Callithrix jacchus: one gene and its partners. The protein of the gene in region 7 binds, or shares a complex with, the protein of the main gene of each other region. Links are inferred from orthologs where the notes say so. Each region holds a gene or a part of one and is shown on either strand. Other genes may lie near its edges. The genes, in order: MORF4L2, BRD8, ANP32E, PFDN2, KAT5, PFDN6 and RUVBL2.

What was found.
Region 1: RUVBL2 (region 7) and MORF4L2 share a complex: the UniProt entries of both Homo sapiens proteins name them as parts of the nuA4 histone acetyltransferase complex. The link is inferred for Callithrix jacchus from reciprocal best matches to the Homo sapiens genes RUVBL2 and MORF4L2.
Region 2: RUVBL2 (region 7) and BRD8 share a complex: the UniProt entries of both Homo sapiens proteins name them as parts of the nuA4-related complex. The link is inferred for Callithrix jacchus from reciprocal best matches to the Homo sapiens genes RUVBL2 and BRD8.
Region 3: RUVBL2 (region 7) and ANP32E share a complex: the UniProt entries of both Homo sapiens proteins name them as parts of the SWR1-like complex. The link is inferred for Callithrix jacchus from reciprocal best matches to the Homo sapiens genes RUVBL2 and ANP32E.
Region 4: RUVBL2 (region 7) and PFDN2 share a complex: the UniProt entries of both Homo sapiens proteins name them as parts of the PAQosome complex. The link is inferred for Callithrix jacchus from reciprocal best matches to the Homo sapiens genes RUVBL2 and PFDN2.
Region 5: RUVBL2 (region 7) and KAT5 share a complex: the UniProt entries of both Homo sapiens proteins name them as parts of the SWR1-like complex. The link is inferred for Callithrix jacchus from reciprocal best matches to the Homo sapiens genes RUVBL2 and KAT5.
Region 6: RUVBL2 (region 7) and PFDN6 share a complex: the UniProt entries of both Homo sapiens proteins name them as parts of the PAQosome complex. The link is inferred for Callithrix jacchus from reciprocal best matches to the Homo sapiens genes RUVBL2 and PFDN6.

The regions. Positions count from the first base shown.
Region 1 is NC_133524.1:99,729,828-99,733,819, reverse strand, and holds the end of MORF4L2 (mortality factor 4-like protein 2), read left to right. Parts: intron 1-21; 5' UTR 22-123; intron 124-1,527; 5' UTR 1,528-1,551; coding exon 1,552-2,418; 3' UTR 2,419-3,078; downstream 3,079-3,992. UniProt on the Homo sapiens protein: Component of the NuA4 histone acetyltransferase complex which is involved in transcriptional activation of select genes principally by acetylation of nucleosomal histone H4 and H2A.
Region 2 is NC_133503.1:36,573,009-36,577,168, reverse strand, and holds part of BRD8 (bromodomain-containing protein 8), read left to right. Parts: intron 1-5; coding exon 6-150; intron 151-1,194; coding exon 1,195-1,404; intron 1,405-1,809; coding exon 1,810-2,090; intron 2,091-2,726; coding exon 2,727-3,179; intron 3,180-3,520; coding exon 3,521-3,614; intron 3,615-3,795; coding exon 3,796-3,842; intron 3,843-4,160. UniProt on the Homo sapiens protein: May act as a coactivator during transcriptional activation by hormone-activated nuclear receptors (NR). Isoform 2 stimulates transcriptional activation by AR/DHTR, ESR1/NR3A1, RXRA/NR2B1 and THRB/ERBA2.
Region 3 is NC_133519.1:10,158,704-10,163,420, reverse strand, and holds the start of ANP32E (acidic leucine-rich nuclear phosphoprotein 32 family member E), read left to right. Parts: upstream 1-1,668; 5' UTR 1,669-1,994; coding exon 1,995-2,048; intron 2,049-4,717. UniProt on the Homo sapiens protein: Histone chaperone that specifically mediates the genome-wide removal of histone H2A.Z/H2AZ1 from the nucleosome: removes H2A.Z/H2AZ1 from its normal sites of deposition, especially from enhancer and insulator regions.
Region 4 is NC_133519.1:20,975,700-20,980,367, reverse strand, and holds the start of PFDN2 (prefoldin subunit 2), read left to right. Parts: upstream 1-1,571; 5' UTR 1,572-1,597; coding exon 1,598-1,672; intron 1,673-4,668. Other genes in the region: NIT1 (deaminated glutathione amidase), read right to left, coding at 46-149, 256-510, 745-840, 1,436-1,437. UniProt on the Homo sapiens protein: Binds specifically to cytosolic chaperonin (c-CPN) and transfers target proteins to it. Binds to nascent polypeptide chain and promotes folding in an environment in which there are many competing pathways for nonnative proteins.
Region 5 is NC_133511.1:122,807,514-122,810,857, reverse strand, and holds part of KAT5 (histone acetyltransferase KAT5), read right to left. Parts: coding exon 3,147-3,344; intron 3,070-3,146; coding exon 2,980-3,069; intron 1,034-2,979; coding exon 893-1,033; intron 812-892; coding exon 718-811; intron 49-717; exon of another isoform or gene 1-48. UniProt on the Homo sapiens protein: Catalytic subunit of the NuA4 histone acetyltransferase complex, a multiprotein complex involved in transcriptional activation of select genes principally by acetylation of nucleosomal histones H2A and H4.
Region 6 is NC_133505.1:41,531,234-41,534,803, forward strand, and holds PFDN6 (prefoldin subunit 6), read left to right. Parts: upstream 1-1,317; 5' UTR 1,318-1,353; exon of another isoform or gene 1,354-1,361; intron 1,362-1,501; 5' UTR 1,502-1,588; coding exon 1,589-1,652; intron 1,653-1,899; coding exon 1,900-1,970; intron 1,971-2,051; coding exon 2,052-2,176; intron 2,177-2,388; coding exon 2,389-2,518; 3' UTR 2,519-2,601; downstream 2,602-3,570. Other genes in the region: WDR46 (WD repeat-containing protein 46), read right to left, coding at 91-203, 347-427, 525-734, 832-900. UniProt on the Homo sapiens protein: Binds specifically to cytosolic chaperonin (c-CPN) and transfers target proteins to it. Binds to nascent polypeptide chain and promotes folding in an environment in which there are many competing pathways for nonnative proteins.
Region 7 is NC_133523.1:42,837,275-42,841,434, forward strand, and holds part of RUVBL2 (ruvB-like 2), read left to right. Parts: intron 1-2,988; 5' UTR 2,989-3,103; coding exon 3,104-3,250; intron 3,251-4,160. UniProt on the Homo sapiens protein: Possesses single-stranded DNA-stimulated ATPase and ATP-dependent DNA helicase (5' to 3') activity; hexamerization is thought to be critical for ATP hydrolysis and adjacent subunits in the ring-like structure contribute to the ATPase activity.

The DNA of each region.
Region 1 (3,992 bases), on a different chromosome or scaffold from region 7:
GATACCTGCTTTTCTTTCTAGGTTGTATCTCCCACTTCACCCTTCTAGACCATCCCAGAAGATTTATAAGATTTCATCTGGGAAATCACTAGGAGTTCTTGGAAGGGAAAGAAGGAAGATTGTGTAAGTCAAAGGAATTGTTTCCTCTGTCACACCCTAAGAATAATGGAAGTCTATTTTTTGCATCCTTATCTTACTAGCACTCCCTGCTGCACTTTGCACTGTAGATTATACCTTTTTCTTCTTGGAATTCTTACCTTCTTTGGCATCCAAAATAACATTCTTCTAATTCTCCTATGGCTACTCTTAACATTTTTGTTCTGTTTGTGGTCTCTCTCTCTGCCCATCCCTTAAATGCGTTTAGTCCTTAGGTTTTCCAGAATTCCGTACTTGAAATTCTTTTTCCCTGATTTTCTTGGCCCTCGTAGTGTCCACTACCAGCTATATGATGTTTACTCTCAGATCTCCATTTCTGGCTTTTACTTCTCACACAAGCTTTAATTTCTTTGTGGGGAGTACCCAGTTAGCTGGACTAAACTGAGCTTTAAAATTTTATGTTTAACTGTACACCTCACACGCAATATCCATTTCCTCCTCCTGTAAATGGAGTAGTATTATAATTTGGTGATAATATTAATGACCTAATCACCTATACCTGGGAGTCATCACTGACTCCTCCCTCACCAATCTTTTTTTTTAACCTTCAACAATCACTGATGGTCATGTACCATTTCTTCTGTCTGCTCCCAAACTATTTTGTGCCTATAACTATCATTATACTAACCTTACTGTTTTATAATTGTCACTTTAGATATTTGGATCTCTAGCACCTACCATAGTACTTGTCCCAAAGCAGATATGCAGTAATGTATAATGACAAACTGAATAAATTAATGAATGGATGAATTACCTATGTTCTGTCATTTTATTTCTGATTCCAAACTAAGCCCTAAATTTAGTGCTTTTATTAAATTCATTGATTACCCAGGCTTGAAAATGCAGATTTCTCCCTCCTTTGGTTACTCTGTTCTTCGTGGTTGCTTGCTGTATTCATCAGTTTCTCTTGACTCTGCCATCATCCTAGTTCAGGCCTTTCTGGACTTATACAAGAACCTTTACTGTTACTCATTTTGCCCCTAGGCAACTAAATATAAACTTCCCTATTCCACATTGTCATTTCTCCTGTTCAAAAGTCTTAAATTTCAGCTCCACTGCCTTTTATACTTTCTTTTTCACTTAATTTCTTCTTTCTTTAAAATTGCTTTCCTATCTTTTGAGTGGCATCAAGAAAGTAATTTATGAGTAAATATGATGAGTATTTGGGTGAGATGAGAGTAGTGGCTGGTAGTGAGGAACAGAGAGAAGAGAAGGAAAGGAGGTTAAAAAAAATCACTTACGAAGGGTCCTAAAATAGGATTTGAAATCCAGATTTTAAGAGAGTTAGAATGTGTTATGCTCTGATGGGCCTTTACGAAGCATAAAGGTTGCCATAGAAAACAACCAAGTAAAATATTTTATATATTACAGTGGTTGGAATAAAAACAGGGTTGAATGAGTTCCAGAAAGCAGGGTTCTCAACCTCGTGGACAACAATCTGCAGAAGAAGACAACTTTAAAAAACCAACTAGAAGCAACATGCAGAGAAGTAAGATGAGAGGGGCCTCCTCAGGAAAGAAGACAGCTGGTCCCCAGCAGAAAAATCTGGAACCAGCTCTCCCAGGAAGATGGGGGGGTCGCTCTGCAGAGAACCCCCCTTCAGGATCCGTGAGGAAGACCAGAAAGAACAAACAGAAGACTCCTGGAAACGGAGACGGTGGCAGTACCAGTGAAGCACCTCAGCCCCCTCGGAAGAAAAGGGCCCGGGCTGACCCCACTGTTGAAAGCGAGGAGGCATTTAAGAATAGAATGGAAGTTAAAGTGAAGATTCCTGAAGAATTAAAACCATGGCTCGTTGAGGACTGGGACTTAGTTACCAGGCAGAAGCAGCTGTTCCAACTCCCTGCTAAGAAAAATGTAGATGCAATTCTGGAGGAGTATGCAAATTGCAAGAAATCGCAGGGAAATGTTGATAATAAGGAATATGCGGTTAATGAAGTTGTGGCAGGAATAAAAGAATATTTCAATGTGATGTTGGGCACTCAGCTGCTCTACAAATTTGAGAGGCCCCAGTATGCTGAAATCCTTTTGGCTCACCCTGATGCTCCAATGTCCCAGGTTTATGGAGCACCACACCTACTGAGATTATTTGTAAGAATTGGAGCAATGTTGGCCTATACACCCCTTGATGAGAAAAGCCTTGCATTATTGTTGGGCTATCTGCATGATTTCCTAAAATATCTGGCAAAGAATTCTGCATCTCTCTTTACTGCCAGTGATTACAAAGTGGCTTCTGCTGAGTACCACCGCAAAGCCCTGTGAGCGTCTACAGACAGCTCACCATTTTTGTCCTGTATCTGTAAACACTTTCTGTTTAGTCTTTTTCTTGTAAAGTTGATGTTCTTTAAAATCGTTAATGTATCACAGGGCTTATGTTTCAGTTTGTTTTCTGTTCTGTTTTAAACAGAAAATAAAAGGAGTGTAAGCTCCTTTTCTCGTTTCAAAGTTGCTACCAGTGTATGCAGTAATTAGAACAAAGAAGAAACATTCAGTAGAACATTTTATTGCCTAGTTGACAACATTGCTTGAATGCTGGTGGTTCCTATCCCTTTGACACTACACAATTTTCTAATATGTGTTAATGCTACGTGAAAAAACGCCCTGATTCCTAGTGCCAAAGGTTCAACTTAATGTATATACCTGAAAACCCATGCATTTGTGCTCTTTTTTTTTTTTATGGTGCTTGAAGTAAAACAGCCCATCCTCTGCAAGTCCATCTATGTTGTTCTTAGGCATTCTATCTTTGCTCAAATTGTTGAAGGATGGTGATTTGTTTCATGGTTTTTGTATTTGAGTCTAATGCACGTTCTAACATGATAGAGGCAATGCATTATTGTGTAGCCACGGTTTTCTGGAAAAGTTGATATTTTAGGAATTGTATTTCAGATCTTAAATAAAATTTGTTTCTAAATTTCAAAGCAAGTAATTTGCAGTGTGCCTTTCATGTTACTGAGGCTGGTATTTTGTGGTTATTGTAGAAATTTTAGAAAACAGAACAAATATAAATAAGAATCATATAATTCTCTTGGATCAGTCAGGGTCCCAGCAATAAATAAATGGGACTCCGAAATGGATGATTTGAGAGAAGTTAAGGATTTTTTTTTCCCTGAGTTGTCACCAGAGGGGTAAGGTTGTGATGTGGGCTGCCATAACAAAGTATTCCTTGGGCTGCCATAACAAAGCACAGACTGATTGGCTTAATATTTTCTCACAGTTCTGGATGTTGGAAGTCAGATCAAGGTTTTGCCAGTTGATTTTTTTGAGGCCTCTCTTTGGCTTCTACACGGCCATCCACCTTGTCATCACATGGCTTTTTTCCCTCTGTATCTGTGTCCTAATCTCTTAAAGAAAACTAGTCATCAGATTAGAACCCACCCCAATGACCTTATTTAATTTAGTTATCTCTGTAAAGACCCTGTTTCCAACTACAGTCACATTCTGAGGTATTGGGAATTAGGACTTCAACATGAATTTGGTGGGTGCACAATTCAGGCCATAACATAGTGTTACTACCCCTCTGCAAAGGAGGCTAAGAGGAATGGAAGCAGGGAGGGGGATAGCAGAGGGTGGGAAGGAAGGAGTTACTGGAATGGCATACAGCTGTGTAGAAGGGTCCACCTGACAGTAGCTGTAATCTTCAGGATGTGGTCAGCTCACAGCGACCCTGAAAAGAAAATGGAATGGGGGAACAAATATTTGACTTCACTCTCTTTCCTTCCATCACCTCCTGGGTATTTCCCTTTGACTAAACTGGAAGCCAGAGGGCAAGGAAGACCTTTTGTATAGTCTGTGTTGGTAAGTGTGGGGGACACAGAGCAGGAAGGAAAGTAAATGGT
Region 2 (4,160 bases), on a different chromosome or scaffold from region 7:
GGTAGGTCAATGAGAATGAAATGGCTGTGGCTTCTGGCCACCTGAACAGTACAGGTGTCCTCCTGGAGGTAGGCGGGGTCCTTCCCATGATACATGGTGGGGAGATACAGCAAACACCCAATACTGTTGCAGCCTCCCCTGCTGCCTCAGGTAAGTTACCACTTTTCCTTTATCTACTTCAGAGGTGTTGAACTTGACATTGACTGACCTCAATTTCAGTGTTTTTTACTAAGTAATTGTTAGTCCTAGTTTAAAGCCCAACTTTGTCTAACTGTTTTTGAAGCTACTTTACCTGGTAAACAATGTAGTGCTCCTGATTATAAAGCTGTCTGTCTTCAAGGTATTGATAGCCCTGATTGACCACAGCATAGATATTAAGAGTAATACTGAGCTGCTTTCTTGTGGCTTGCAAAATCAAGGTACTAGAGATACCTGAGATTCTAGAATAGTGGAATAAGATTTGGAACCAGAGAACTGGGCTTGAATCTCAGACCTGCCACACATTGGTTTTGTGACTTTGTATAGGTAACTTAGCTTTTGAGTCTCAGTTTACTTTTTTTATTAATTGTAATGTATATATTTGATGAAGAGGTGATAAGAATTAAATGAAGAAAAAAGTGTAAAGCAGGGAAAGACAAAAAGCTCCATAAAATATTCTATAAACTTTATTGGTATTTGAATGGTGTTGAACTTGGTGATTTACAATATGCTGAACTTCAGCAGAAGTGACATATTTATTAATACCAGTTTTTTATTTCTTGGTGATTAATTTTCCTCTGAGGAAAAATTACCACCCTTTTTTTTTTTTATACAGAGCCTCGCTCAGTTGCCCAAGCTGGAGTGTGGTGGCACAATCTGAGCTCACTGCAAACTCCATGTCCTGGGTTCAGTCAATTCTCCTGCCTCAGCTTCCTGGGAAGCTGGGATCAGAGGTGTGAGCCACTGCACCTGGCCTTACCACCCATTTTTTTATATATGTTGTGTGTTCTAGTGCTTTGGTTCATTCCTAACTTGGAGGAAGATCTTAAGTAAGGTTAGAGAGAGTAAGGATATAGATGATGAACTTACTCAGTGCAGCAGTTGCTCTCATCCTTTGAGACCATAAGAATTTCTTAGCTGAGTCTTTGAGTAGCTATTGCTTCTTGTTTATATGCTTTCTTCTTACTTCATTTTGTGTACCTCTTTATATGTTAGGTGCTCCCACTCTTTCCCGGCTTTTAGAAGCTGGTCCTACACAGTTCACCACACCTCTTGCTTCCTTCACCACTGTTGCCAGTGAGCCTCCAGTTAAACTTGTGCCACCCCCTGTAGAGTCTGTGTCCCAGGCTACCATTGTCATGATGCCTGCGCTGCCAGCACCATCCTCTGCTCCGGCTGTCTCCACTACTGAAAGTGTAGCTCCAGGTGCGTCCCTGAGCAGCCACAAGGTCTAAAATTTGATTTTGAGCTTCATTAGAGAATAATGACCAAGAGCATCAGCTCCAATTCAGATGTTTCTTCTCTGTTCTACATAGACATGTGCCATCTTTATCCTTAGAAATAAATATCCTTAGAAATAGATGTGAGAAGACATGGGTGGGCATTTATGTGTTGCAGGGAAGAGGCTAAGTATACAGATATGAGCAGGCTTGAAAATATGTTCTCACCCTTATAAATAAAACTGAGGAGAAGAAAACATAGGCACATGTATAATGACTCTTTCTGACCTTAAGTGTTTAGATATTTAACATCTGTCTGTAGTGCTGATGTGATCTCAAGGTGGTCACTTTGTACCCAGTAAGCTTCTGAGATGTTTTCTCTTTCTGTTAGTGAGTCAACCCGATAACTGTGTTCCCATGGAGGCTGTGGGGGATCCACATACTGTGACTGTTTCCATGGACAGCAGTGAAATATCTATGATCATCAATTCTATCAAAGAAGAATGTTTTCGATCAGGGGTAGCAGAGGCCCCTGGAGGATCAAAGGCTCCCAGCATAGATGGGAAGGAAGAATTAGATCTGGCTGAGAAGATGGATATTGCTGTGTCTTACACAGGTGAAGAGCTGGATTTTGAGACTGTTGGAGACATCATTGCCATCATTGAGGACAAGGTAACTATTCAGCAAAGCCCCAAATAAAATAATCTCATGGGTCTTATGTAGGCTTCTCTTCTCAGCTTAGCTTTACTGCTGCTTTTTTTTTTTTTTTTTTAGAGACAGAGTCTTGCTCTGTCATCTAGGCTCAAGTGCAGTGGCATGATCTTGGCTCACAGTAACCTCTGCCTCCCAGGCTCAAGTAATTCTTGTGCCTCAGCCTCCTGAGTAGCTGGGACTACAGGCGCATGCCACCATGTCTTACTAATTTTTTGAATTCTTAGTAGAGACGGGGTTTCACCGTGTTAGCCAGGCTGGTCTCGAGCTCCTGGCCTCCCAAAGTGCTGAGATTACAGGCGTGAGCCACCATGCTCGGCCACTTTGCTACTTATAGTAAGAATTACTTAAACAACTCTCCTACTTCTGCCCATCTCCATCTTTGTAGCCCCTTGATGCTAACATACTAGTCATCTCCCCAGGCATATCCATGTCACTGATTTGCACAGGACACGTGCCTATTCGTTGTTTGCCTCCACTATATTGGAGAAAATTGAGAGAAAGCTACAAATTCAAGCTATCACATTTGGTGCTAACAAAACTGAGGGACTTGGGCTTCTTTCTGTGACTTCAATAGGCTTGTGTATTGTGGGACAGGTAGATGATCATCCTGAAGTGCTGGATGTGGCAGCAGTGGAAGCAGCACTCTCATTTTGTGAAGAGAATGATGATCCTCAGTCCCTGCCTGGCCCCTGGGAGCATCCTATCCAGCAGGAGAGGGACAAGCCAGTACCTCTCCCTGCACCGGAAATGACGGTCAAGCAAGAGAGAATGGACTTTGAGGAAACGGAAAACAAAGGAATACATGAACTGGTGGACATCAGGGAGCCCAGTGCAGAGATCAAGGTGGAACCTGCAGAACCAGAGCCAGGCATTTCAGGGGCCGAAATAGTAGCTGGAGTTGTTCCAGCCACAAGTATGGAGCCACCAGACCTCAGGAGTCAGGACTTAGATGAGGAACCAGGAAGTACTGCAGTTGGAGAGATTATTGAAGCAGATGTTGCCATTGGGAAAGGCGATGAGACCCCACTTACAACTGTGAAGACAGAGGTATTTAATAAAGATCCGGGGCTGGGAAGATGGAGGGTTATACTGTAGGTAAGAAGTGACAGCTTATGGAGGGTTATACCTTAGGTAAGAAGTGACAGCTTAGGCTTTTTGTTTTCCTGTTACATTCCAGAGTTCTACATGTTTGATGTGTCCAAAGCCCATAGGCTGTGATTAGTGCTATAAATACTTGTCTTATTCCTGTTAAGGTTACCATTGGCGTCAAATTACATGAGTAGGACTTAGAATTTCTTCTATAGTCTCATTATCATTGAAGAATAAAGTTGTGTGAGCTATAATGATTTACCAGTACTTAGGGTATTTTTTTCTTTTTTGGTTTTCAGGCATCCCCTGAAAGCATGTTGTCTCCGTCACATGTCTCAAATCCCATTGAAGATCCTTTAGAGGCAGAGACTCAGCACAAGTTTGAAATCTCAGGTAAATATAGCCCTCTTTAAACTAGCTTGAAATCACTTGCTTTGGCTTCTGAGGGATTGTGGGTTGTGGGCAAGTAGAGGAAGTAGAATAGGTCAGCATGGAAAGGAGAGCTACAGGGGATTACGGTCCATAGGAAGGCTAAGGTGGAAAAATCTTCAGGTAGTCTTTCTCTCCTCTGCAGACTCATTGAAAGAAGAATCAGGGACTATTTTTGGAAGCCAGATAAAGGTATTTCAGACTTTTCTTTATTCCTCTTGCCATGTGATTAGATTTCCCTATAGCACTACTTTTTAATGAATTTCAGTAAAGTCACATCGTTATTCTCTGATAAGAGACTGGTACGGAGTTGCATGGGGAAAAGCTGCAGTGGACAGTCAGGCATAATGGGAGTGCCTCCTAGCAACAGGTGCCTCCCATATGAAACAGTTTGTGAATATCACACAGTCCTTAAGAAACCTCGCTTGATACAGTTAGAGTGATTTAGAGTGGATATGGATACCAGAGCCAAGGAGAACATACAGGAATCAAGTTTATTAATTAGGCTAT
Region 3 (4,717 bases), on a different chromosome or scaffold from region 7:
TTAGTAGAGACGAGGTTTTTGCCATCTTGGCCAGGCTGGTCTCGAACACCTGGCCTCAAGCGATCTGTCTGCCCAGGCTTCCCAAAGTGCTGGGATTAAAGCATGAGCCATCGTACCCAGCCAGAGATGCCATTTTATACTAAAAACTCTTTTCCCCCTCTCTTCGCCTTCACAAAATTTCCTTTGCAGGGAATTCAAAGGAAACATTGTAGAGACAACCATCGTTTTGTTTTCCTTTAAAGCATTTACATTTTCTTTATTTATTTGAGATGGAGTTTAGCCCTTGTTGACCAGGCTGGAGTGCAATGGCTGGATCTTGGCTCACCGCAACCTCTGCCTCCCAGGCTCAAGCCATTCTCCTGCCTCAGCGTCTGGAGTAGCTGGGATTACAGGTGCACGTCAACATGCCCGGCTAATAGTTTGTATTTTTAGTAGAGATGGGGTTTCACCCTGTTAGTCAGACTGGTCTCGAACTCCTGACTTCAGGTGATCCACCCGCCTCGGCCTGCCAAAGTGCTGGGATTATAGATGTGAGCCACCATGCCCGGCCAAAAGATAATTCTTATTTTAATCTTTCATATCCCATCCCACATAGATAAACTTTTCTTCTTGTGTCTTGAACACCAAATTTGAATCCCCTGAGGGGTTCTGTACTGTAATACCAGGTCCATGCATGAAGTGGACAAGCAAGCTCCTAGTCCGTCTTCCTGCTTCAAAAATCCATATAATATATTGGACTCGGAGAGAAGATACATCAGATAGTAAACTGATAAGAACAGATTCTACACTTGATCTTAGCCAAAAGGCAGAGAAGGATAAACACTTTTAAAAGACTACTTTACCTACAGATTTCCATGGAAACCAACCAAAGGGAAATTAGACAGGCATTGCTGTGCCATTTCTATGCTAATTAATGTCTGATTTTCATTAGGCCAGCGTTGTTTTTTCCGCCAAGGTCTTAGTGTTTATTACAGCAACAATTAGCTCAGTAACAATTCCTCCAGGATCGTTTTATTTAAATATTATTAACGTACATACTTCACCCAGCTGCTTTCAAAATTGTTGTCTTTTACGGTGTTAAACTACCATCTTTAAAATCTCGGCTCTGGCTCTGCATCACGGAAGGTCAGGCTCTGTGAAAAGCCTGACCCCAGCAGGACAATGCCACGAAGTCATCTTTTTAATGTGATGCGCGCGTTGCTGTACACCTTGGCTGCAAAGCAGAGTCTGTGCTTTTAAAACGGCCAACAGCCGGTGCGTGCCATGTGGTGAATTATCAGTATCGCAACTTGGGCACGGAAGGATGCTTTCTCCCTCTTTAACACTAACAACAGAATAAGAAATAAAAAACCAAAAACCAACTCCAACAGGCAACAAAACCGTCCGAGTGCCTAGGGAAAGCGCGCCAACTACATAAAGAAAAGTAGGGGGGCTACTGGGATTCAAAATCATTTCTCCGGGACGTACACCCTCCTGGACCTATCGAAATTAACTGCGCGCTTGATCGTAGCCAATAGATACGGAGTTTCTGGTCCAGGTCCTCCCTGAAGACTGATAGACGTTTACATTGCCCAATGGAATCATGTGACGCTGAAGAATCAACCAATACGTTTGGGAGGTGGGTGGAGTGTAGGCCAGGGGGTTGGCGGTGCCGTGTCATGGAGGCTCAGTCTCTGAGCAGCCATTGAAGGAGAAGGAACTGCGGGTGTGTGCGTATGTGTGTGTGTGTGTATGTGTGTGCGCGCGTGCGTGCGTGTGTGTGCGCGCGCTAGTGTGTGGACAAGGAGGTGGGGGCAGCTTAGTTAGAGTCCCAACTCTTGGACTCCATTTGCTATTCTCTTCTTTCTCCCTCACACCTATCTGGTGGTAGTGGGCGTTTATATTTGCGTTCCTTTTCATTCATTTCTGAATCCTAAAAATTGTGGGTTGGGGGTGGTGGGAAAGGCAGGAAAGGGAAAGGAAGGAGAGTAGTAGCTGAAGAGCAAGAGGAGGACATGGAGATGAAGAAGAAGATTAACCTGGAGTTAAGGAACAGAGCCCCGGAGGAGGTGAGATGACTCAGCCCCCACCCCTTCCCCATCAGTCCTGTATTCTGAGGATCGGGTTTCTGGGGATCCCGGTGGATGTGCGGGGATGGAGTAATAAGTTAGCCCCCACCCCCCGGGGCTAGGGTTGGAGAATTGTTTAATTTTAAGTTTTAAATCATTAAAATCTTCTACTTAAAATGGCGAAGGGTTGAAGTTTCTAGGGGCGTTTTTGTGTGTGCATGGGAGCTTAGCTCCTTCGGCTTTCATCGAGTCGGGCGTCCGGGCCTCGTGGGGGCGGGAAGCGGGCTGGTGGGGGCGCTCCGCCGCTCGGCTCCCGGCGTTCCTCCTCCCCGGGGCCGGCGGCGTGGGCGCAACCCCCAGTCCCACTCGGCCCCTGCCGCAGCCATCGGCGCCTGAGAAGTTAGTCCAACTTTTCTGCAGTGCGGCCAACTCATCTTTTCTGGGGGTGGGCTCCCCCGGCCTCGAGGCCCTGGGCGTCCGACGTCGCGCCGGTGGCGGGCTGGGGTCGCTCGCAGGGTCCGCGCGCGGTCTGCTCCGGAGGCGCCCACTCCTCCGGGAAGCCGCGCGCACCGCCCGCCACCCGGCGGAATCTGGGTCAGCGGCAGGTTCTCCGACCGCGGGCGAGTTTGGGGACTCGTCGCAGTGACCGGAGGTGGGGAGGGGACGGGAGGTGTAATCCGCTTCTTCCCCGCGCGGTGCAACGACATTTGGCACGTCGTGTGGCCGCAACTCTGATCCCTGGAGACGGTTTCACCAAACTCAGCATAAAGGGACGTAGTAGTTTCGTGCTTCAAAGATGGGTTCGGCGAAACTAAATGATGCGCTCTCACTGCTGTCGCCTTAGTTAAAGAGACGGGGTTGGGAGGGGCCACGCGAGGCGGGGTCGCGGTCAACTTTTCTGGGGTCGGGCGGGAGGCGTTTCCGCCTCGTTTTCGCGGTTGCCTCCTGGGCCTCACCTACCCGGGGCGAACGCGGGACGGCAGCGCGAGCTGGGAGGCGACCCCTTTTTCCCCTGGGGAGTCTCCGCCCCCCGTGGGGTTTCCCGTCAGCCGGAGCGGCAGGTCGCGAGAGCGGGGCGGGTGGCCAGCGGGGAGGCTCGCGGAGGAAAGCAGCAGTCTTGCTGAAATAAGCTCTAGAATTGGAATATGAGGGAGGTGTGTAGAGCTGGACCGACCGATCGATAGCATATAACTGGGGTGGTGTCTGTGCAGACCCGCAGAGAAGATGAGCAAGCTCTGAGCTTTCGCGTCCGGCGTGCGGAGTGGGAACTCACACTTTTTAAATTTTTTTATTTTTAGGTCCCTGTTTTCCTGAAATTGGCAGGTGCCAGGGAGGGGATACGGGATATCAGGGTCATCCCGGAGAGAGCTTGTTTCTAGAGCTTATTATTAGAGGCTTCAGGAAAAAAACTCAAACTTTAAAAGCTGTCTCTCAGAAGCACACGTTTAGAATACTTTTTGGTGGCTTGGGTTGGAAAATTGGACACCCCCCGCCCCGCCAGGATTCTTTCACTTAGTGATTGTAGTAATTTCTTTGCCAGTTTTGGGGTGTTCAGGACGTTGCCGTTTTTCAGCTCCTTCCGCTCTGTTGTAATAACGGTCTCTTATATTTGTATAGACAGTTTACAAAGCACTTTTCCCGTTTGTTATTTACTTTCCTCCTTACTTGTAAGGTAGATTGTGTTGTAGATTCCAAATTAGCAGATGGGAGTCTCAGGGCGGTGAAATGAGTTACACAAGTGGAGGAACTGGTTTTCTGACACCAAATGTAGCAGCCCCCACCCCTCAGCTAAACGGAGTGGAGTCAGAACACTGAACCAGTACACAGCCCTGTCACAAACAAACTATGGGCCTAGGCATGTCATTCTTGACCTCTGGGCCATTCCTCCTCTCCAGAACGGAGCTCAAGATGCTCTCTCTGACCACAGAAATAATTTTCTCAGAGTCATATTCAAATAGAGAAGGTGGGATTCCTTGTTGCTAAATTTTAGCTCACAGATACCTCAAACAAGTTTTCGCCTTGGGTGTAGAGAACTACAGTCTTCGGCCTTTCCGTTAAAGATTAAGGCCATTCAGGCCTACACCAGGAAGTTTGTTACTACAACTCTTACCTAATAGGGAATTCAGCCCCACTTCCTCAGGAATGGGGAGAAGTGCACAGAAATGCTATTATACCACAGTGGTAGGGAGAAGTAACATTTTGTTAAGAATGTATTGTTCTGGGTGATACTGTTTGGCCTGGATGTGAGAAGAAATGACACCCTCTGGGCTGTTCCCAGAAGTTTTCTAACATTTCTTCATGAAGGGTAAGGAGGTTTCTTTTGAGTTATGATGGCATTTATCAACCAAAGGGAAGGGGGTTTAAACTAAAGAAGTGATTAAACAGGCTGGGTGTGGTGGCTCAAGCCTGTAATCCCAGCAGTTTGGGAGGCCGAGGCGGGTAGATCACGAGGTCAAGAGATCGAGACCATCCTGGTCAACAAGGTAAAACCCCATCTCCACTAAAAACATAAAAATTAGCTGGGCATGGTGGTGCGCGCCTGCAGTCCCAGCTACTCGGGAGGCTGAGGCAGGATAATTGCTTGAACTCAGGAGGCGGAGGTTGCAATGAGCCGAGATCGTGCCATTGCCCTCCAGCTTGGGTAACCAGTGAAACTCCGTCTCAAAAAA
Region 4 (4,668 bases), on a different chromosome or scaffold from region 7:
TAAGTTTACGTGGAAGAGGCAGGCTAAAGGGTTATAAAGTCTCACCTTTGCTGTTCAGCAGCACATGACAGTTGTAGATTTTCTGAGTCTGCTCCCAGTCTTGGCCACGCTCATGGAAACCACCCAAGGACAGCCAGAGTCCACATTCCCTGGGGGGAGGGGACACTGACTTCTCAAGGCTGTACCCTCATATTTGGCAATCTAGGGGCACTGCCCAACAAAGATTTTACCTCTCCCTCCCCCATTCCCTGATACCTGGCAAGCTGGGTGTATTCTTCCAAAAGTTTCCCACCCAGTGGTTCAGACAGGTGTAGCGTCTCTGCAGGGTCCCGTGCAATGAAGTCAAATGCTTCAGGCAGGAAAGCCAGGCAAGCACCCAGTCTGGCAGCCTCTCGAACCAGCTCAGCACATGTTTTAAAGTTCTGTTGCTTGTCTGGCGTTGATGTTACCTGGCACACAGCCACGAGGGGCAGTTTGCAGGAGGAAGAGGAGATAGCCATGGCTCTGGGCCTGTGAACAGCATAGACAGGATTCTCAGATTTCAGTGCATGAGGAAACAAAATTAATGCTAAAGGGTGCAAGGGAGGAAAGCTGGACTTCCTTTTGATCCTGCTCTTACAGGCCCAGGGCTAGTAGGGCTTACTAATCAAATGTGGATAATTGACAGTCCTGTGTCTCCCATTATCCATTTAACAAACTGAGCATCTAAGTGCCAGGCACTGAGGACACAACAAAACGTGTTACCTGGGCTGAGCACAAAGTACAGAGAGTCGAGGTATCCGGAGTCCAGGACACAGAAAGGACAGGAGTCGGTGAAGAGGCCTGGTGAGGAAGCCCAGCCTGAAGAAGGTGAGAAATGAGGGCACCAATCCCTTCCTTGAGCAATAAATTTCTTGGATTCTCTGACTTCTCTTTATACTGTGAGCCCGAATCAGGGCCCTGCCAGCAAAAACCTTCTGGTCTTCAAAACATTTTTTACTTCTGTAAGTACTTATGGGCTAAGGGACGGTGGAAAGATGGAGGAAGGGGCTCTGCTCGCCTCCTGAACAGATCAATTTTCAATGATCTCACATTAAACTGAAGCCCTTTTCCTCTGACAAACGTTTCCGCAGTCCAAAGTCATCTCCGGGAACTACCCTTGGTTTTCCCAAGACTCTCTTCTTGACTGTGCACTTGCACAGATTTACTGACTCAAAGCGTATTTCCCCTTTCACCAGAATCTCTCAGGAGGAAGTTCACCCTAACTCGACTCCCACCCCTCCAAGGTGGGCAAGGGGCAAAGGAACCCAGGCCCCACGCCGCGCCCCGCTCTCCACCCCCCGCTCCAGTTGGCCCGTCCCTCCCCGCCTCTCCCAGGGGCAGCATCTCTGTCGCACAGGTTAAAGCACCGCAAGTGGGATTCCCTGCGGCCGACGGGATAGGGAGTAGGTCCTACATGAAAATACTGCCAAAAACATTCGCAGGATTCGAGCCGATCCGGAGGGCGGCCTGGAGCCAGAGGCGCCGGGGCGAGTGGGCGGTAACTCGCAGGCCGGACGTGACGCAAGGTGGGGGGGGTGCTGAGCTGCGCCGGCCGGAAACCCAGCAGGCGACGAAGATGGCGGAGAACAGCGGTCGCTCCAGCAAGAGCAGCGTTAGCGGCGCGGGGAAGGGGGCGGTGTCCGCAGAACAGGTGAGGAGTGGAGAGCGAGATGGAGGGTCCCCATCTGGGTCTGGAGTATTTGCGAGAAGGGGGAGCCTGTGGCTTGTGTAGGCCTTTACTCCAGTACTACATGTGCGTTGCACCCAGAGAGGGAAGGGTCCCCGGAGAAGCTAGTCGAGCCCCTTGGGAGAGGTAGACGGTTGGGCAGGTGAGAGCCACGCCTCCCTGGGGTGTTGGGTGAGCCTGGGGGAGGGGAAAGCCCTGACCTGCAGGGTCTGGGAAGATGCACAGGTCTGAGGAGAGATGGTTCGCTGCTTTCTCCATATCTCCTCAGCACCTCCAAACAGGTTATGTCTGGGCAAGACAGCTCTAAAGTAACTCCCCATAGGATTAGTTAACGGGCTGGTTGTGTAGTCTGTTACGTGATCCTGAACTCACTTTGACAATCGCCGTCACGCTGCAGAGCCACGTGACTCACATACTCGAACAGCCTAGTGTTCCATACTATATGGATTCGAGAGTTCGGTACTAGATCGAATTTCTTTAGAGACTAGAAACCCCTTTCTAATCCCAGTTTGCATTTTCCCCAGTGCCTAGCTTCGGGAAACGTTTAATAAGTTAATCACAAAGCCCTTGTGTCTTGAGAACCGTGTTTTGCCAAGTGGAAAAATAGGAGTTGGAGGAAATCTGCCCAGTGAAAATGAAAAAACAGCTATTTTTTTTGAGACAGAGTGTTGCTCTGTTGCCCAGGCTGGAGTGCAGTGGCACGATCTCGGCTTACTGCAAACTCCGCCTCCCGGGTTCAAGCGATTCTTCTGCCTCAGCCTCCCGAGGCAGGGGCCATCGCGTCCGGCTAGTTTTGTATTTTTAGTAGAGACGGGGTTGCACCTTATTGTCCAGGCTGGTCTCGAACTCCTGACCTTGTCATTCGCCTGCTTTGGCCTCCCAAAGTGCTGGGGTTATAGGCGTGAGCCACCGCGCCCGGCTCTTCATCAGGTTTTGTTGAACAGTTAATACAGACAGAGGTATCAGCATAAAGATTTTTATTTTTTGAGACAGAGTCTTGCTCTGTCGTCCAGGGCGGAGTACAGTTGGGTGATCTCGGTTCAATGCAGCCTCCACCTCCCTGATTCAAGCAATTCTCCTGCCTTAGCCTCCCGAGTTGCTGGGATTAAAGGCAGGTTGCCCAGGCTGAGTGCAGTGGCGTGATGATAGTTCTCTGCAGCCTTGAAATCCCTGGGTGATGAAGCCATCCTCCTGACTCAGCTTCCTGAGTAGCTGGGACTATAGGCATAAAACATTTTGAGTGGCTAATTAAAAAAAATTTTTTTTGGTAGAGATGGGGGGAGTTCCACTTTGTTGCTTGGGATGCTCTTGAACTCCTGGCCTCAGGTGATCCACCTGCCTTGGTCTCCCAAAGTGTTGGGACTGCAGATGTGAGTCACCTTGCCCAGCCCCCTGTGATACTTTTTAAGGATACCATGTGTCAGGCACTCTGCTGGGTACAGCAATACAGATACAGTAGTTCCCCCTTATCCAAGGGGGACATGTTCCAGCACCCCAGTAGATGCCTGAAACCTGGGGTAATATTGAACCCTATGTTTTTTCACATACCTATGATAAAGTCTAATTTATATAATAGGTGCAGTAGTTAATAAAATAGAACAGTTCTAACAATATACTATAATAAAGATTACATGAATATGGTCTCTCTCTTTCAGAATATTTTATTGTACTGTACTCACCCGTCTTGTGATGATGTGAGATGAGAAAGTGCCTTCCTGATGAGATGAGATGAGATGAGATGAGATGAGATGAGATGAGATGAGATGAGATGAGATGATGAGATGATGAGATGATGAGATGATGAGGTGAATGACAGCATTGTGATGTAGCCTTAGGCCACTACTGATGATAAGTCAGAAGGAGAATCATCTGCTTTAGGTGATCTCACATCATTGAGCCATGACGATATTGAGCAGGAGAAGTTGACTAAAGGGCAGGTAGCATATATAGCATGGATAGTCTGGGCAAAGGGATGATTCACATCCTGAGCGGGATGGCTCGAGATTTCATCACGCTATTTTCCTAACAGCATGAAAGTTAAAACTTATGAATTGTTGGCCAGGTGCCATGGCTCAGGCCTGTAATCCCAGCACTTTGGGAGGCCAGGGTAGGTGGATCACCTGAGGTCAGGAGTTCAAGACCATCCTGGCCAACTTGGAAAACCCGTCTCCACTAAAAATACGAAAATTAGCCAGTCCTGGTGTTGGGCACCTGTAATCCTAGCTTCTCAAGAGGCTGAGGCAGAGAGAATCACTTGAACCCAGGAGATGGAGGTTGCAGTTAGCCAGGATTGCACCGTTGCACTCCAGCCTGGGCAACAGAGTGAGACTCTGTCTCAAAACAAAAAAACAAACAACCTTAAGAATTATTTCTGGAATTTTCCATTTTCAGACATTGGATAACTCTGGATAATGAGAGACTATTGTAAATGAAATAGACTTTGTCTTCAAATCGCTTTACTCACAGACTCATTTGAGAAAAGATGAATCAAACAATAAAGATTTATAATGTGCTACACAATCCCTTCATTATGGCAGCTAGAGGAGAGACCCCTAACTAATCATGAAGTTGCAGGACTGTGGGCAGGGGCTGGAAAAGGGAAGCTGTGGTATAGTAGGATGGCAGAGCATTCTTATGCACTAAGTTTGAATTTCATTTCTACCATTTACTATTTATATTTGACTTCCCCTATGTTACATCTTGGCCTCCCCAATCTGTAGAATCACTGTGCAAAACACTTTGCATGTATTGTCTTGCCTAATACTCTAAATACAGTCATGAGTATTTAGAGTATTAGGCAAGACAATACATGCAAAGTGTTTTGCACAGTGATTAGAACATAGTGTGTGTTTAGTAAATGCTTTTGTTTTCTAGAGAAAATCCTTCAGCTCAATTCTAAAGGATGAGAAAAGTTAGTCAAGCAAAGAAGGAAGTGGAAGATTTTCTAGGTAGAGGGAATA
Region 5 (3,344 bases), on a different chromosome or scaffold from region 7:
TGGGCATCATTTAACCAATAAAATTCCTCAAATGGACCATAACCTTGATCAATTAAAGCCTCTGTGTCTTCACCAGACCAGCTAGTACTTCCTGTCACCCAGGTCGGAGCTTGGTTATTCCAAGGGTTTGGTGAGTGGTAAGGTAGACAGAATGGGGGGTGACAGAGAGTAAGAGGCTTGGAAGGAGAAGGGGGCCTCAGGGTTGGGAAGGGCAATGAAGAGCCCATGTGTGATGAAGGTCAGAGTCCCTCTGGCTTTAAGAGATCGACCTTCCTGAATACAAGGAGCAAGCCATGCTTACATCTATTTGTTAACAGCATTTTGTACAACTGCCTGCCAGGCTCAGGGGAAAACTGGGGACATTAACCACTGGTCCTTGCCCAAGGACCTGTATCATGGCACACGCTACAAGATACATGAGTACCAGCGGCTCACTAACCTCCTGCCCATGGCCCCAGACAGGAGCATGTAAGTCAACTGAGTGGCACTTAAACCTTAGCCAAGGAGCAAACTGTGGGGCTGAGAACCTATCCCAGATGAGCAGGGCAGTTGGCCTGAATGGAGGGAACCCCAGTAGAGTGCCACCGTTATTCCTGGCTGGCTCCGCTAGAGACTGGGCTGCACAACCAGGGCTGGGAATCACAGTAGCCCGGCACATCTGCCTGTGAGGCACCGATGACGGGTGCACTTCCCCCTGGCCGCAGCACACATACTCACTGAACTCGATCAGCAGCTTGCCGTAACCCCGGCGCTGGTAGGGAGGCAGCGTTAGGATGCAGGCCACATTGTAGTCCTCTGTTGACTCCTTCTCCTGAAAAAGGGAGACAGGTGAGTGTGACGGAAGGGACCTGGCTCAGGACAGGGCACAGCAACAGCCTGGGTCGGCACTGACCTTGGAGAAGTAGCCCACAATGTGGAAGCCCTTGCAGTCATACTCTGTCATGACGTAGAAGAGGAAAGGGTCTGTGTCATAGTACAATGTCTTATGGTCAAGGAAACATTTGGCCAAAAGACACAGGTTCTGGGAATAACTCTGCAAGAGAAAAGGTTTGTCACCACTCTGGGTACCCGGCCTTGAGCCTGGCCAGTGGTTCAGGGTCGACCAGAAGCTTCACTGTTTGTGCTGAACCCCAGGCCGACAGGTGATGACTGTTCCTTCCTGGCAGGGCCTGACCCATTCCACCAGCTCGCAGCTTAGGCAGGGCTGCTCCTCAGTGTTGGAAAGCTTGTGCACCAGAGGTGTGATGGTGCCTGGATGCCTCCCTGCTGAGTCCGACAATTTTCCCTGCCTTGCTCTGCACACCTCTATCTAAGCTTGGCCCGGAGACTCCACTGCCCCTTAACATTTTTGTTTTGTTTGTTTGAGACAGAGTCTCACTCTGTCACCCAGGCTGGAGGACAGTGGTGTAATCTCAGCTCATTGCAACCTCCACCTCCGGGTTCAAGCGATTCTCCTGCCTCGGCCTCCATTGTAGCTGGGACTGCAGGCAAGCGCCATCATGCCTGGCTAATTTTTGTATTTTTAGTAGAGACGGGGTTTCACCATGTTGTCAAGATGGTGTCAATCTCGACCTCATGAACTGCTCGCCTTGGCCTCCCAAAGTGCTGGACAGCAGTCAACAAACTAATGTGTCCAAAGTCAGACTCCAACCACAGCTTCTGAGAGCTCTCCCTATCTGACAATCTTGGGAGTCTAGCTGCTAAAACAACCTAACATTCTACATCCATAGTCACACCTCCTGGGAACTGATCTGCAATTCTACGACAGTTAAAGAATTCTGGAATTTAACTGCCTTAGGGGTTACCCCAGCAAAATTATGAATAATGCTGCTTTATTTCTGCACAGAACTTCTGCATTTCAGAGACTGTGGGTTGTTTTTTTTTTTTTTTTTTTTTGAGACACCCAGTGGTGTTATCATGGCTCACTGCAGCCTTGACTTCCCAGGTGATTCTCCCAACTCAGCCTCCTGATTGCCTGGAACTACAGATGTGCACCATCACACTAGGCTCTTTTATTATTTATTTATTTTTGAGAGACAGTCTTGCTCTGTCGCCAGACTGGAGTGCAGTGCTGCATTCTTGACTCACTGCAACCTCTGACTCCCTGGTTCAAGCGATTCGCCTGCTTCAGCCTCCCGAGTAGCTGGGATTACAAGCACATGCCACCAGGCTAATTTTGTATTTTTAGTAGAGACAGGGTTTCACCATGTTGGCCAGGATGGTCTCAATCTCCTGACCTTGTGATCCACTCGCCTTGTCCTCCCAAAGTGCTGGGATTCCAGGGTGATCCACTGTACCCAGCCAATTTTTTAAAAATTTTTAGCAGAGATGGGATTTCTCTATGTTGCCCAGGCTGGTCTTGAAATTCTGGGCTCAAGTGATTGGCCCACCTCGGCCTCCCAAAGTGCTGGGGTTACAGGTATGACTCACTGTGCCCTGCCAAAAATTGCTGCTGGGTACTGCCACTTGGATGCCCACGTCCACATTAATAATTACAGAATGGTGGTTAACACAGCATCTTCTTCACCTGAGCTCTGTCCCTTATAAAAGCCTTCCCTCATCCTTCCTTCTCTGCCTCTCAGCCACATGACCTTGCCTCTCACAAAGACCATCTCTGTGCATCCATGCCCACTCCTCAGAATGCCACTGCAAGAAATTCCTTTGTCTTCCACGTCACGGCTCAAAGTTAACCTCTGTGAAGCTCTGCTGACCACCTCCTTTGGGTCCTGCTAACCTACTCTCTGTTTCATGACATGACACTGGAATCGAAGACGTTGTTGGTATGTCTGTCTCCCCGTGGACTGTAAGCTGTCAGAGAACAGAGACTGTCTCATTCCTGGCTACCAGCACCTGCCAGACAGCAGGAACTCAATAAAAATGGGCCGAACCCATCTGCTGGCTCAACTGGTCAGTTTTCCTGAGCAGGAAGAAACTGTCATTTGACTTACCCCACAGCCCCACTGCCTCTCAGGCACTAACCTTGTTCTTGCGTCCATCAATCTCAAAGAAGGAGATGGTGCCTTTGCGGTAAATCTCGTTGCCTGGAGGATGTCGGAGGTCACACTTGGTCTGGGGAAGAGAGGAGGATCAGGGACGAGGGCAAGGTGGACAGTGCTGGGAAGGCAGCCTCCCTGTACCCCTCATACCAAGTGACGCTGAAGACACTTGAGGCTACGGCCGTACTTGAGGCAGAACTCGCACAGGTAGAGGACAGGCAATGTAGTGAGCTCCTGTGGGTACGGGGAGAAGTACCACGGCTTGAGGCGGTGCCGGCCCAGCTCGATACACTCAATGTTCTTCATCCGGGTGACGATGTCGTCGTGGCTCCGGTCAGACACCAGGCT
Region 6 (3,570 bases), on a different chromosome or scaffold from region 7:
GTTTCCCAATATGAAACAAGTGTACCAACATAAAAACGAGAGAGTCCTATAAAGCAGGGAATGGGGTGGCCCAGATTAGGGCCCACTCACCCAGGTTCCTCAGCAAGCAGCAGCTCAGAACGAGCAGCTTTGATACTTGTTTCCTCTTCCTCAGCTTCCGCCACCTCAAGTCGGCTTCGAGCTTTGGCTTTAGACTGTGGTAGCTTTAACATTGTTGGTAGACAGGAGTGGTAGAAGAACCACAGAGTAAGTGGGGTCACAGGAGGGCTACCTGGCTCAGCCTCCATCCAACTCACTCAGACACTCCCGGCCTCCAACACTTCCCAACTCTCCAGCTGGACCTCACCTTTCGGGATTTGTCAATGCGACAGAACTTCTGGACCACCTCCACAGGGACGGGGGCGGGGCCTGGGAATGGGTCCTGGGCCTAGGGGAAGGAAGGACGCAATTAGCAGGCAGCCTTAAATTGACCCCAACCCCTTCACTCTCGACCTGCCTCGCCACCCATTAGGTCCCACGCTCACCCCGGACAAGCTCCGCTGGGACTCCGAATTCTTCCATTCTCGGGGTTTCTTCTGGACCTGAGGCTTCTTAGAGATCCGAGACTTCTTTAAGATGTGAGTACTTTTTGCTCCCTGGGGACGGAGCTCCCGATTCTTCTTGTTAGGAGGAGGCCCTGGAGAGGCTCCGGCTGCGGTCGGAACAGTCTCTTCCTCCCAGTATCGCCGAGGTTTCTACGGGCAGATCAGTAGCCCTAATAACTCCGCACCTACGCCACGCCCCCCGACTCCGCAACTAAAAACTTATTTTCCCACCCAGAGAGGCCTCTACCTTTTTCTTGGTCTGCAGTTTGTCCTTCTTGGGCGGGACATCCCTGCCCGGCTTGGGGGCCGTCTCCATCTCGCCCACCCGTACGGCGATCCACGTGCAAAACTCCTCTCAGCTGCCCTACAGTCGCCTTGAAAACTTCCGGAAGCCCTCTGTCCGTCATCCAATCAGCAGCGTACCAAATCTGAAGCTCTCTTAACGCCATCTTGAGTGAGGGCACGCTCTCTTTAGAGAGGCGGAACAGCTCTTGGCACCTTATCGCGAGCGACAGCTTATACAAGAGAGACTTTAAAAAAAAAAGGGCAGGTCCAGGACCAGGGACTAAGTAGCGGTGCGATTTCTTTTTCTGGATTAGTTTCCCCGTCTTGCCTAAAAATGTCCGAGTCTAGTCTTTTTAGCAGAACGCCACTCACTAAACATGTCAGAACTACACTTCCCATCAAGGATCAGAAAGAAACTTCCCGACACAGTCTTTTCCCAGCATTCTTTGTTTACTTCCGGGTTTATTACTACTAAAGGGAGAACGTGAGTAGGTTAGGATTTCGGTTGAGGGGTTCGGGGTTTCGCGTTTCGCCCATCATCTCCTGGGAACAGGGTGGAGTCGATATCCGGGACGTGGGGAGTTTGCGGTCCCCCTCAGGGCTGCCTCTTAAGAGTGCCATCATTTCCGCAGGCCAGATCAGAAAGGGGAACTCAGGTACCTTCCAGAGAGTAAGATCCAGCGCCCTTCTCTCGCTCCCCTTAAGCTTTCATCCCCGCCATGGCGGAGCTGATTCAAAAGAAGCTGCAAGGAGAAGTGGAGAAATATCAACAGCTACAGAAGGGTAAGGGAGCAGGGTCAGTGTGGCCTCGCCCGATGCACTCACAACCCAAAACCATACTAGGATAAGGTCTGTTGCCCCATCTGGGCCGTCGCGTGCGGAGACTTTCCCGCGTCAGTACTCGTCCCTATTCACTGACCCGCTGCCCCCATCCTTGTTTACTTCCTCAGATCCATTTCCTCCTGACTAGGATTGTGGGGATTGGTGGCACATTTGATGTTTCTAATCTTGCCTTTCCTCTCATCCCCAGACTTGAGTAAATCCATGTCGGGGAGGCAGAAACTTGAAGCACAACTAACAGAAAATAACATCGTGAAAGAGGTGAGGGACTGGGATTTGTGCGGCGAGGAGGGGCCTGTACTGGCCATGGTTCTGATTACATATGTCCCATCCCTCCATCAGGAACTGGCCCTGTTGGATGGGTCCAACGTGGTCTTTAAACTTCTGGGTCCGGTGCTGGTCAAACAGGAGCTGGGAGAGGCTCGGGCCACAGTGGGGAAGAGGCTGGACTATATCACAGCTGAAATGTGAGTCTAACTGAACCATTGGAGTAGAGGAGTTGAGGAACCATTGCAGAACAGCTCTCCATAGTCGCCCCTAGTCCAGTTCCTCCAGACCCCTTCCAACACCCCTTCTGCACCCTTCCCTAGATCTCAAGAAAGAGAAGTCTCTTTCTTGAGTTTAGCACCCTCCATAGTAAGTCCCACTAATTTCTCCTTTTCTGCTTGTCTTTCCTCAGTAAGCGATACGAATCCCAGCTCCGGGATCTTGAGCGGCAGTCAGAGCAACAGAGAGAGACCCTTGCTCAGCTGCAGCAGGAGTTCCAGCGGGCCCAGGCAGCAAAGGCAGGGGCTCCTGGCAAGGCCTGACCCCATGGTGGGGGAAGGGGAGGGGCGGGAATGAGGCAGCTCTGGGATCTATACTGTAGCTAATAAAATGCAAAAACACCTGCCTCTGTTTCCTGATCAGGCATATCTCCACAGCCCCTTCCACCTTAACACACACCACCTATATTACTCCCTCAGGTCCAAACTCTTGCACTTGAAATCTCTCTGTGGCACAGTGTTTTCTTTCTTGAAAGTGAAATCCCAAATGTCCTCAAACCTTCTTTTAACTCTCCCTCATCTTGGTTGGCATGATTCTTTTAGAAGGGCATTTACATTTGTGAATGTGAGGAATGTCAGTTTAATTGAAGAATACAGTTCTCTAACATGAGGCCCCAAGGTGAAATGTGATTACCCTCCTTGCCAGCAGTCCTGACATCTCTATTAGTACTTTTCAGCCTGTCTTCCTAGAATTTGCTTGAATATAGCTTAAACTGACTTAAAAGCCTAGCATGTAATGCTTTATGGTGTTATAAGTCCTCCTAAGTTTATATGTTGTCCATAAGGTTGTTCAGCCATTTCTTTGTCCAAAAATTGTTTTATACACATTTGCAGCATTGTTTGAGGAAACTGTTCACCAAGTAACTCACTTTTTGCTCCGTTCATGGGGATAGAAAACACTGTGCCCCTTCCTGCTCAATGGCAACTACCTTCAGCCAGTTCCCACCCCACTCATAGCAGCCAGTTCAAACACACTGCAAGTACAGGGGAGTAGAATTCAGGTAGTGTTTTGGTTTATTATCTTAGTGTTGTCACAGTGATAGAAACCCGAGTGGGAAAAGGAACTCCTGCAAGGACCTACTTTTTGCCATCCCCGTCTGCCCTGGGGCTCAGAGCCTTGAGGCCTTTGCTTGGCCCTTCACATGTTAGGATATGGCCAAGAATCAGAAACTGATGCTGTTTTCCAACACTACCTGTGTGCTGCACTGGTGGAAGGTGGGAAGCTATACACAGGTATCCAAGTTGGTTAGATTACCAGTTCCCACAGGGCTGGATTTCGCAGCTGTCTGGTAAACCAGTGGCACTTCACTGCCCCA
Region 7 (4,160 bases):
ATTTTCTGACAAGAAAATAATGTAACAGACATGCAAAGATCCACCATCCAGCAGTGTTTTGTTTTGCTTTTATTCAAGACAGAGCTTCACTCTGTCTCCCAAGCTGGAGTGCAGTGGTGTGATCTCGGCTCACTGCAACCTCCACCTCCCAGGTTCCAATGATCCTCCTGCCTCAGCCTCCCAGTAGCTGGGATTACAGGTGTGTGCCACCACTCCCAGCTGATTTATTTTTTATTTTTATTTATTTATGTTTTGTGAGACAGAGTCTTGCTCTTGCCCAGGCTGAAGTGTAGTGGTGTGATCTCAGCTCACTACAACCTCAGCCTCCCAGGTTTAAGCAATTCTCCTGCCTCAGCCTCCCAAGTAGCTGGGATTACAGGTGCCTGCCACCATACCCAGGTAATTTTTTTGTGTTTTTAGTATAGATGGGGTTTCACCATATTGGCCAGGCTGGTATTGAACTGCTGACCTCGTGATTTGCTTGCCTTTGTAGGGCTAAGGGCCCCACAGGGTCGTGAGGTGTCCCTTAATGCTGTGCTGAGGCACAGGATCCAAGAAAGAGACAGGACACGGAAGTGCAAAGAAAGCACAGCTGGGCTGGGAGTGGTGGCACACCACCTGTAAGCAGAGACAGGTGAGGCCTGAATGTCCAGAAGCGTCTGTATTTATTGAGTATAGGTTAGGGGGCAGGGTAGTGAGTGAAGTCATCTTTAAGGATAGTGATAGGGTCGTGAGCAATAAACAAGGGGTCCACCCCTATTAGGTCATTGAGGCAAGGAGGCAGGCCTTGTGCAGTAAGGGGTCCACCCCCGTTAGGTCACCGAGTCATGGAGGTGGGCCGTGCGCAGCGAAGAGGGTGCAGTGTGCAATATCTCTTATCTATGAGAGTGTCTGTATGAGGATGCTTTAAGTAACACAGCAGTGACAAAGCTGTCAGGGTCTACCGCCACCTGCTGGCAGCTTCCAGTGAGTTCTATAGGAGGATGCTTTTGAGCCAGCACCATAGCAAGAGCTGATAAGTTCACAGTCACCAAGGTGGATTGCCCGTCTGAGGGCAGCCTTCCACAAGAACTGGAGCAAGGTCCTACAACTCCTTTATCAGGAGGAGTGGCTCTCGCCCCAAGCCTGCCATACAGCAGGTATCTTTACGATACTGAACGCTGCTGCCTGGGCCATGGATTCTTGTCCTGGCATAACTGTTTGTCCCTTAAATCATGCTCTGAACTGTGTCTGCTCCAGACATTCCTCTGATTATAAGCTGCTTATTCCTTAATTAATGCTCTGTACTGTGTCCACTCTAGGCATTCCTCTATGAACTAAGGTATAATCATATACATATAGGGAAATAACTGAGTGGTAAGATATTCTTTAGGCACGCATTCTATGAACTAATGTATGATTATATATAAAGGATTGTGCGAAAGGGAATAACTGAGCAGTAACACTGTAGACTGAGATATTCTTCAGGCACTAATTGTGCCAGGATTCTGCTTAGCTCCCCTCCCTCGGCGCCTATGTAGAGGGTTACCCACAGCCTTGACCTCCCGGAGTGCTGGGATTACAGGCATGAGCCACTGCGCCTGGCCAATTTTTGTGTTTTTTGTATTTTTAGTAGAGATGGGATTCACTATGTTGGCCAGGCTGGTCTCGAACCCCTGACTTCAAGTGATCTGCCCGCCTCAGCATCCCAAAGTGCTGGTATTACAGGCAGGAGCCACTATGCCCAGCCTCTTGTTTTTTTCTTAATAGCTTTATTGAGATACAATGCACATACTATATAATTCACCCATTTAAAATGTACAGCTCAGCATTTTGTAGTATATTCACAGAGTTGTGCAGCCATTGTCACAATTTTAGATCATTGCCTTCACCCCAAAAAGAAACCCCATACCTCCTACCTGTCACCTCTAATCCTCCCATACCCTCCTGTCTTCAGTTCTAGGCAGCCCTGGTCTTTCTCTGTATATGGATTTGCCTGTTGTGGCTACTTCGTGTAGATGGACTCATACAGTATGTGTCTTTCACGTGTGGGCTTCTTTCCTGTAGCTGTTATTTGTGTCCAATGGTACCGAGTGTTAAACACATTGAATAAGGAGTCTTCCAAGCAGGCTTTGTGTGGGTGTGGGCGACAAGGCCATCTTATTTCTCACTTGGGTGCAAGCAGGCCGAATCCGAGAAAGGACAAGGGTGGGAATTGATTTGATAGGTTGGGGCAATTTTTTGCGGGGGGTGGGGATGTTGCAGAGTAAGATCAGTTAAGTGGCGGGGGGTAGGGGCAAGGCGTATACATTACGATAAGTTCAGTTACAATGGCAGGTGGTAAGGCAGAAGAGTAGTTAAGATGGCAGGGTGGGGTGAGAGGCTTGTCCTGGGGAAGCTCCGCTGGGTGATTGGGGCTGGTGGGGGACGACAGTCAGCCGAGGCAGGACTTCAGACTTTCTGGGTCCAGGCTTGCACATGGAGACCTGACGTTCCTGTCCTTTTATATAGACAGAGAAAGAGAGAAGAGGGGGTGATGACAGGTTTCGGGGGGTGAGGGCTAAGTGTCTCAAGGCTACTTTGTGCGTGATGGGACCGCACGGACACCTAAAAATTTTTTTTTTAGTGGAGGAGACAGAGTAGAAGTGGGAACAGGACAGGGACGAAAATAGGAAAGGTCTGGACACGACGTTTGGCCTCACACATGCTTCAGCTGCTGGGGAACTTTGAGGCCCCGCGCGGTATTGTGGGGTTGTCCAGAGCAGCAGGTGCCGATTTGTGATCGCCTGGATGCGGTTTCGGATGAATTGGGAGGGTAAGCGGAAGACACAGGGTCCGAACAGATGGGTGTTAAAGAAGTAGGGATCGGAGGGAGCCGGGACCTCCAGTTAGAGAATGGCCAGGCAGGTTCGGCGGAGGTGTTTGCCTGGTCAGCAAACTTCTGAGTTTTTTGATATGATCATACACTAGGCCAGATTGCTTTAAGTAAAAACAACATTCTTCGTTTAGAAACATAGAGTCCTCCTTTTTCTGCGGTAAGTCGAGGCCACGATGGTTTTGGAGATCAGCTGCAGCCAGAGTCAATTTGAGCCTGAAGGGCAGACAACGTATTAGCTAATTGGTAATGTGGGCAGAGAAATCAGCAGACAGACTGCGGAATGCTGTGACGGAGGAGGTGAGCCCTGCCGTGCCAGTTCCAAGGCCTACCGAGGAGGCTGCAAGCCCTGTTCCCACGAGGAATGGAGTTAGCTGCATAGCTCTTTCTCGTCGGGTAGGTGTCATGAGGGGGACAGGCAGGTGTTCGTTACCAGTGGCAAATTGGATCTTAGGAATAAGGAAGACTAAGGGACAGGTGCCTGTCCAGTTAGTGGCAAACACATACAGTTAGAGGAGCCACCTGGGAAGAAAAGGCCTGGAGCGACGCAGAATTGAAAACACAGGGTGAGGCCGGGCGCGGTGGCTCACGCCTGTAATCCCAGCACTTTGGGAGGCCAAGGTGGGTGGATCATGAGGTCAAGAGATCGAGACCATCCTGGTCAACATGGTGAAACCCCCTCTCTACTAAAAATACAAAAAATTAGCTGGGCACAATGGCGCATGCCTGTAATTCCAGCTACTCAGGAGGCTGAGGCAGGAGAATTGCCTGAACCCAGAAGGTGGAGATTGTGGTGAGCCGAGATCGCGCCATTGCACTCCAGCCTGGGTAACAAGAGCCAAACTCCATCTCAAAAAAAAAAGAAAAGAAAACGCAGGGCGAATAGGTGAGAGGGAGTATTGAAAGGGGAATCAGATGCCCAAATTCCTAAAGCTCCAGCGAGGATGGCAGCTGTTAGGGGTTGAAGGGGCGATGGGTGGCAGCTGTGTAGTGGAAGTGGTTTGATTTCAGAATGTATGAGGAAGCCTGTGGTGTCAGCAAATAGCCTCTACTCACATTCGTAGGGGTGGGTCTAAGTCAGCATGATGAAGGACTAGGAGGAGAACCTGAGGCACAAGGAGAGGGTAACCAAGGACGAAGTGAGATACGGGGAAGATGACTGTTAATGGTTTTGAGATTATTAGTAGTGAGAGAGGGTCTGTCAGTAAAGCCACGTAAGTATGCCCGCATGGGCGTGTTAATATGTGTGTTGGGACTTTGGAGGGTAAAAGCCTATTTAGAAGGTGGAAGGTTGCCTAAGGGGATT